2 linked regions of the Ovis aries genome follow. The protein of the gene in region 1 interacts with the protein of each later gene in a pairwise test. Links are inferred from orthologs where the notes say so. Each region holds a gene or a part of one and is shown in the gene's direction. Other genes may lie near its edges. The genes, in order: FBF1 and ACCS.

Region 1 (4,350 bases):
GAAGGTGGGAGTACTGGAGGAGGTGCACAGGTCCAAAGACTGAGTCACGGTTAGATAGTGGTGACCCACCAACCTTCGAATAAGCTAAACCACTAACCCCATCTTCCTTTGTAAAATTTAAAAACCCTTAATAAACTCTGTAATCAACACAAAAAGTGTTACTGTCTTTATTAGGTGATGGTGTTGGGTTTCATCCTGGCTTAACAGCTTTGGCTTTCATAATTGAAGGTCACAGCCACTTTCCTAGTCTTTATGGTTTCACGGCCCATCAGTTTTCCACTCTTCACACGTTTCTCACGCCCTCCCCCTTTCCACCAGTGAGCCCTCAAAAGAATGCTGAAAGAACTCTTTTTTTTTTTTTTTTTCCGGCTGTACCTGTGGAGCATGTAGGATCTTACTTCCTAGAGCAGGGATCAAACCTGTGCTCCCTGCTGTGGAAGCGCGGAGTTTAATACTGGGCCACCAGGAAGTTCCTGGAAGAACTTTAAATGTTTGGAGCCTAGGTGGGCTTTCCTTGTGGCTCAGCTGATAAAGAATCCGCCCGCAATGCGAGAGCTGCTGCTGCTGCTAAGTCGCTTCAGTCGTGTCCGACTCTGCGACCCAGAGACGGCAGCCCACCAGGTTCCCCTGTCCCTGGGATTCTCCAGGCAAGAACACTGGAGTGGCTTGCCATTTCCTTCTCCAATGCATGAAAATGAAAAGTGAAAGTGAAGTCGCTCAGTCGTGTCCGACTCTTAGCGACCCCATGGACTGCAGCCTACCAGGCTCCTCCGTCCATGGGATTTTCCAGGCAAGAGTGCTGGAGTGGGGTGCCATTGCCGTCTCCGGCAATGCGGGAGACCTAGGTTCAATCCCTGGTTTGGGAAGATCGCCGGGAGAAGGGAAAGGCTACCCACTCAAATATTCCGGCCTGGAGAATTCACAGTCCATGGGGTCGCAAAGAGTCGGACACAACTGAGCGACTTTCACTTCACTTCACTTTGGAGCCCAGGTAGTGGTAGTTCTGCAGAAAACCTGAAGGAAGAAGCTCACTGGCCTCGGAACCCACGTACCGCCCGCTTAGCAAAGGGGCGTTGAGGCAGCTCCTAGCAACGCGCCCAGCGGCTAACTGGACATGGTGCGCCGACTAACGGCCGCGGAGGGGCACCCTGGGAAGTGTGGTTCATTCCAGCGCCCCAGAGGCCCTTGGCTCTAGCAGGTGAGGGGGTTTAGGACTACAACCCCCAGGATGCTTCGCGCCTCTCCTTTCTTCCGGAGGCCGGGCGACCGAGAGATTGGCGTCCGTAGCGCTCCGAAGCTGGAGGCCTGACTGAACCGGGCTGGAGTGGATCCTGGAGCGGCAGCTATGTCTGGGACACGTCCCAGTGGCTGCGCCTCCGAAGGGAATGGCACGTAACCGGGGCGCGGGGGCCAGGGAGCGTGGGGAGGATTTCAAGGGCTGGAAGGATCATAGGCTGCACTCGGGATCGAGATGGGCTGGGCGCGAGGACCGAGGGGGTGACACCAGGAGGGCCCTAGCTAAGGGATCTTAAAACGCCTGGCACGGAGTTGGCTGTGCACAACGATGCGATGGTCCTTGTGGTCCTGAGGCCCTTTGCAGCCTCCCTTAGAAATTCCCACGGCCTGCGAGGCTGGGACAGGATCACTGGGAAATGGGAGACGCTCCTAGATGTGATGGGAGACAAAACACGTTGGGTCGTGAACACTGCCATTACAGAGGAGAAACTCAAGCATTCAGGGTGGCCCCTGTGCAGTAACCCCACATTAACTTTGCATTCTAATAACAGGACAGGCTGGCACCTGGCAACTAGAGCCGCCCACCTCCTATTACTTTCTTCCAAGCCGTGCCAAAGGTCAGTGTGCGGAACTTTTTGAGGAGGGGGCGGAAAAGAATGATAATTCTGGTGAAAACAGTTCACCACTAATGGAGTGAGTTGGATTTACAGTTAAAGGGGGAAATTTTCCAACGATAGTGAAAATACTATCAAGGAGTAACCAGCTTTCACTTCCGTTCTGTGTGCTGATTGCTGCTGGGAAAGTAGTCCTGAGTGTTGCCTGGAAAGGTGTATAGACCGCAGTGCCAGACCCCCACCTCTTTTCTAAGATGGGGACCTGCCATTTTCTGTATCCTCTTTCAGAATAAGGAATGAGGACCACTGCACTTTTTTCAAATAATCTCCAAGCCTCGAAAAGTTACCCAGAACACTTTGCCTCTCATCTGAATCACCCACCATAAGAAATTTTTAACTGACGGAAATAGGTTTTGACCTCTTGAACGGGTAAAGTGAGAGAAGGCTTTATCAATCTTCGACTCAAGCACTGTTAAAGCCAAATTGTTTGTGAGCAGACACTTTAATTTTCTTCATTAGGGAGGATGAGCCTGACAGGCAGAATTCCAGTGAGCTGGAGAGCACTGTGAAGGACCTAGAAGCAGCCCCCCAGAGCCTTGAGATGGTAAGCAGAATGCAGAGCAGTTTAGTTCAGTTGCTCAGTCATGTCCAACTCCTTGCGACCCCATGGACTGCAGCACACCAGGCTTCCCTGTCCATCACCAATTCCCAAAGCTTACTCAAACTCACTGTCCATTGAGTCAGTGATGCCATCCAACCATCTCATCTCCTGTCATCCCCTTCTCCTCCTGCCTTCAATTTTCCCCAGCATCAGGGTCTTTTCAAATGAGTCAGCTCTTCGCATCAGGTGGCCAAAGAATTGGAGTTTCAGCTTCAGCATCAGTCCTTCCAATGAGTATTCAGGACTGATTTCCTTTAGGATGGACTGGTTGGGTCTCCTTGCTGTCCAAGGGACTCTTAAGAGTCTTCTCCAACAGCACAGAATCAGAGCAGGTGTGTGGAAATGGGAGTCTACCCTCCCTCCTGCCTCCACCTCCAAGAGCTTAACTGCATGAAGTACTTTGGGGACTGGGTGGCCCCAAAGAAGAGTGATGATTAGGAGCATGGATATCAAACTTATTAATGGGACTTCTCTGGCAGGTCCAGTGGTTAAGACTCTGTGCTTCCCAATGCAGGGGGCATGGGTTCAATCCCTGGTCCAGCAAGCTGTGTAGCACGGCATAAAAGAAAAAAAGCAACTTCTTATTAAACAGTAAGCGAGCATCTCTTTTGAGCCTCTGAATATCCATCTGGAAAGCATTTATACGTATCTGTCACTGATACTGAACAGTCAGGGAGATGGATTAGAGGAAAACGTTACATCCTGGGAGGGGTTGTATGTGGCATCTGGAAATCTGGGGGAAAGGAGAAACTTCCGCCCACCAGATGGCACCCAGTGTGGCATCCACTGCTGGTTGGGGGTGGCCCTTTTCATGCTCTGAATGCGTCTATTCCGAGAAACTCTAAGAAAACCATAAAGGGCGTCTGTCCCCAAATGCCACTGGTGTTCCTTGTCCCCATCTTTGCAAAAGGCAAAACAGTTCATTCTGCATTCTGGGTTTTAGTACACATTCACTGTCTGCTCTTGTTCATGGGATTTGTTTTTCCCTTTTTAGGCACCCAAAACCAAGAAAAGATTGAAAGGTAAGTGGGGATGAAACATCACCCATAAGCCAAAAATAATTCCCCTGCCTTGGGTCCACATGACTTAGAAATGTCTGCCTGAATGTTCTCAGTGAATATCTTTTTTTTTTTTTAATATTTATTTGTGCCAAGTCTTAGTTTTGGCACTTGGGATCTTTAGTTGTAGGATCTAGTACCCTGGAAAAACCTATGGACAGAGGAGCCTGGCGGGCAACAAAGTCCATGGGGTCTCAAAAAATCAGACACGACTGAGCATGCAGTCACTAGTTCCCTAACCAGGGACTGAATCCAGGCCCCCTCTCTTGGGAGCATGGAGTCTTAGCCACTGGGCCACTAGGGAAGTCCCTTGGTGTGAGTCTTGCTATTGTCCCTGTAATCCCAAAGGCAGCTTGTGCTTTCCTAGGGAACCCCCTATGCTGCCTTGCTGGCCCTTGGAGTAATTCAGAAATAAACAACAGATGGGACTCAGGGAAAAATCCTTTTTATTGGGCTCTGTATCCAGAAATATCCAGGTGGAGTATCCTGGATGAGGTCTCAAGCCATGAGGCCCTAAAGGACCTTTCTTTCCTCCTGAAGTCACGGTGGCCCCTTTCCTGTTCCAGACTCCATCGATGATGTCCTTGCTGACCTCCTGGGAGATGAGGGTAAGTGCCCCTTTCCCAGAACCCCCTGATTCAGGCTTGCTCTCTCTTTTATTAACTGAGATACAATTCACATAAAGTTCAGTCTTTTATAAAGTGTACAGTTCAGTGACATGTAGTATATTGACAGAATTGCGCGGTCACCACCACAGCCAAATTTAGAACCTTCTCGTCAC
Region 2 (4,295 bases), on another chromosome or scaffold:
CCTCTCTTCAATATTTATGTCTCTTATTTTTCTGTTGTAATTTCGTGGCCGAGAACCTCAAGTACACAGTTGAATTAAAAAGTAAGAACATTCTTGCCTTGTTCGCAATCTTAACAGGATCGCGTTTGGTCTCTCATAAGTGTAATGTTACTAGAAATATTCTTCATACTGCCTTTACCAGATAGAAGAATTTCCTTCAGTTCCTAGTTTGCTGAAAGTTTTACCATAAATGTGTGTTCAGTTTTTACCAGATGTTTTTGCCTGTACTTTTAGAGATAATATTCTTTTAGTTATTAATGTGATGAAATTATATTGATTAAAAAACATTATAGTCCTGCAATAGCCCCGTAGAGTCATGATGCATCATCTTTTTATATATCGTCGGATTTGGCTTTGATGTTAAAAATTTTACATCTATTTTCATGAAGGATATTGTGTTATAATTTTCTTTCCTTATATTGAAATGAATTTTTTGATCAGTTAATTTAAATGTTTATCAATTAATATTTTCCAAAGACCTAACTTTTTGTTTCATTGATTCCCTCCCCCCCAATATGTTTCTCTTCTGTTTCATTTCTACTTTTTATTTCCTTTTTTAAACTTTGGGTTCAATTTGTTGTTTTTCTAGCTTTTTAATAGGGAAGACTAGACCTAAAGTTTTTTAAAGTTATTGATTTCTCTCCAAGCATTGCTCTAGCAACATCCCATAAATTTTGATAACTTGAGTTTTTATGATCATTCAGTTTTCTACTTTTCCTTGTGATTTCTTCAGTTCTGTCACTCAGTTGTGTCCAACTCTATAATGTATTTAGCAAACACTTTCGACTTTTTAAAAACTGTTTGCTCTAGATATTACTATATATACATGTATATATATGTGTGTATATATGTATGTAGACATATATACATATATATGTATGCTAAGTTGCTTCAGTCGTGTCTGATATATATTATTACATACATAATATATAAATAATGCACTTACCATATATGTGTGTCTGTGTATATATGTATATATATACACAGACACACATATACTGTATTGACGGATCCTGCTAGTTTTTTTTTTCCCCAGGGGAAAAGGAGAATTTTACTCTAAGGCTCTGTGTAGGCCCAGGTCCTGGGTGGTCTAGTTCTTTTCCAAAGTCTCAGAATGTGTAGGTCTAAGGTGGAGTTCAACAAGCGTTCTGTAGTACGCAAGGAGGAGGAGAAATGACAAACTCGGGTCAAAAGCTCTCTCAGCAGAAGGATGTTTTAAGGATGCGCACGCCTTAATCCTAAAGGCTTTTCCATAGGCCCCAACCAGGCATATATTTGCCCAGTAACCCTGGTAACTGCCTTAAAATGGGGAAGCTAAGGCCTGGAGGCAGAGGAAGGCGCCTGCGTTTGTGGGGCGGGGAGACCTGGTCGGGAAGGCGGTCAGCGCGCCGAGGCCGTAGAGCGCCGCGGTGGCAGCGGGCGCCCGCCCCTTCCTGTATCGGCTCAGGCCGCGGGCCGCCTCCCCTTCCCTGGCTTTCCCTCCGGCTTGGGCGGCCAAAGGTGGGAGCCGGTCTCGGGGAGAGAGGCTCTGGGGGGGCCCAGCCCCGCGGTGCGGCCCCTCGTGCGCCCCCTGCGCAGACGGGCCCGAGTGCGGGTGCCTGGGCCTGGATGCGCCCCGCTCAGCCGCGGTGGACGCGTCCCCGGAGCCTTGGGTGCCGGCGCCTTCAGCTCTGCCGAGGAGGTGCGATCCCCGCTTTGCAGAGCAGGGGGCCCTTCGGGGGCTCGCCGCCTGCAGGGGCCTTGCTCTCTGCCACCCGCCTGGCCGCCATCTCGCGGATCTCCGAGGCCGGCCACGTGGGTGTCCGGCTCTGAACTCTCCCGTCCAAGGCTGCGGGGAGGCGGATTAAGGCGGAGTAGGGGGTGGTGATCCGAGTTAAGGCTCAGGAGGCCCAGTCAGTTGGGGGAGGACCTAGAAATGACTTCATGGAGCAAAATTTAACCCGGCAGCCCCCGTGCGTTTCTGAGCATCGGGTATTGTGAGGCTTGGGCATCAGGACTAGGGAAATTGGCAGGGAGTTTTATAATAACAGTAAATATAAATATAATTTACTGAACTTCGGCCATGAGTCAGGATTGTTCTAAGCCATTTACACTAACTCATATTTTTCTGTCCTCACCAGGGCTACCGTATGAAATAGTTACTGTTACACCCACTTTGCCCAAGAGGACACTGGCTTAGAAAGTGGAGTTCACATCAGAGCACAGGATCAGACCAGCCTCTCCCTGAGGCCAGAACTGCCCCACTTTGGGAGTGAAGATGGAATTCTAGGTGCTGCCCCGGGTCCCTGCACTTGCAGAGACCCCCATTTCCCTCCTCTCAGGCCTCATGCATTGTCTGCTCCAAGTCATCAACATCAGTCACCGCAAGACCCGTGGACTCCAGGCCCTTTCTGCTCTAAGTCAGAAAAAAATTTTTTTTTAAATTGAGGTCAGCAAGACGGGAAAAAAGAAGCTGGTGACACTTTAGCCTGCAGAATCAAAGACTTCTCCAAAAGTAAAAGCAAGCGGAAGTGGCCATTAGTTAAAGTTGTATACAGTAGCAAATAAACCCTCTGTCTGTAAATCTTTAGTAGGGTTGATGCCTTGAAGCAAATGCACACACGGTCACAACTAGCAGGGGACACAGGAAGTGATAACTGTATAAACTTAAAGGAAGGGGAGACAGAGAAGGGGGAGGGCCCCATGCCTCACAGTTCATTTTTTAAAAGATTTTTTGTATTTGATGTGGACCACTTTTTAAGTCTTTATTGAACTTGTTATATTGTTATTATTAATTTTAATTTTGGTTTCTTAAACCACAAGGCATGTGGAATCTTAGGCACCCCCCAACCAGATATTGAACCCTCACCTCCCTGCTTTGGAAAGTGAAGTCTTCACTGCTGGACCTCCAGGGAAGCCCCCCGCACCCCTAACAGTTCATTTTTGATGCTTGGTGCTATGGAAGGTCCTTGATCAGATCAGAGATTGAATGCTTTTGTTTTTCTGCAGATGTTCACCCTCCCTCAGAAGGAATCCAGGATGACTAGTGCTTGTCCAGATTCAGACTCCATACAGGGCCTACCCAGTAACAAGGGAGATGGTCTGGAAAGAGAATGCTCCAGAAAACCCGACCAGAAGCCGCTGAAGTTCTACGGAGTGGGTGACCCTGCTGCCGTGCTCCCCTCCAGCAGCCCCTACCTGTCCTCTAGAGGAAGCGTCATTAAATGGTTCTGGGATTCAGCGGAGGAGGGCTACAGGACCTACCACATGGATGAATACGATGAGGACAAAAACCCCAGTGTGCGTGATGCCCCCTGCCCCACTGGGACCCAGGAGAGAACTAGGGGAGGGCACCCTACCTTGAAAGATAAGGCAGCACCCAGCTTGCTCTTGTCACGTTGGAGTCATGGACTTCTGACTTCCAGTGGGGTTTCCAGTGTTGCTTAGAGAGGTCCCAATATACTACCTGAATCAGAAAATGGCCCTCTTATAATTAAGGGAAACTTGATTTGTGGGGGAGGAATTCAATAACCAGGGAGTGCTCTTATATGGCTTCTGGTCCACAGCCCAACTATTCACCTTTAGAGCTGGGACAGAACTAGGGTTCAGGCTGAAAGGGTTGCGCTTTCAAGTTGTATATTCTTGAGCTAACTACTTAAAGTCTTTGAACTTCAGTTCATCTTTATATTGGGGTAATAATACCTGTTATATTCTGTACTGTCAAAACTAAATGTTATCAGGTATATAAATTATTAGCACAGTGCTTCACATAGAGCATTCAATAAGCGGCAGTTGCTATTATCATAAATGTATTATTATAATAACACAATTACTAAATATTATAATAATACAATTATAAATATATTTTAATTACTAATTATTATATTAAATACATATAATATAGTAAAAATATTATAAATATATTATATCATAATTCTTATACTTTATTATAATTGTTATAATTATTATAATATTGTGATTTATTATTATAAATTATTACTAGTAATTATTAGTTATTGTAGTAATAGTGTAATATATATTATAATTATAATATATATGATATATTATGATTATATATTAAATCTAATATATATTATTACAATATATTATGTATAGTATATAATATCATATATAGTCATATATATTAATATAATAACTTATTGCACATTAATAATTTATTACTATATATTATATAATATATTACATATAATATATTACATATTACATAATATATTATATATTATATAATATATAATATATTGCATATTATATAATAC

What was found.
Region 2: the proteins of FBF1 (region 1) and ACCS interact in a two-hybrid assay, tested with the Homo sapiens proteins (2 studies listed by BioGRID and IntAct). The two-hybrid records come from large-scale screens. The link is inferred for Ovis aries from reciprocal best matches to the Homo sapiens genes FBF1 and ACCS.

What each region holds. Positions count from the first base shown.
Region 1 is NC_056064.1:55,040,204-55,044,553, forward strand, and holds the start of FBF1 (fas-binding factor 1), read left to right. Parts: upstream 1-1,270; 5' UTR 1,271-1,392; intron 1,393-1,787; exon of another isoform or gene 1,788-1,853; intron 1,854-2,138; exon of another isoform or gene 2,139-2,279; intron 2,280-2,369; exon of another isoform or gene 2,370-2,373; 5' UTR 2,374-2,451; coding exon 2,452-2,454; intron 2,455-3,505; coding exon 3,506-3,533; intron 3,534-4,135; coding exon 4,136-4,177; intron 4,178-4,350. UniProt on the Homo sapiens protein: Keratin-binding protein required for epithelial cell polarization. Involved in apical junction complex (AJC) assembly via its interaction with PARD3. Required for ciliogenesis.
Region 2 is NC_056068.1:73,086,914-73,091,208, forward strand, and holds the start of ACCS (1-aminocyclopropane-1-carboxylate synthase-like protein 1), read left to right. Parts: upstream 1-1,472; 5' UTR 1,473-1,720; intron 1,721-1,810; exon of another isoform or gene 1,811-1,833; intron 1,834-2,510; exon of another isoform or gene 2,511-2,533; intron 2,534-3,027; coding exon 3,028-3,318; intron 3,319-4,295. UniProt on the Homo sapiens protein: Does not catalyze the synthesis of 1-aminocyclopropane-1-carboxylate but is capable of catalyzing the deamination of L-vinylglycine.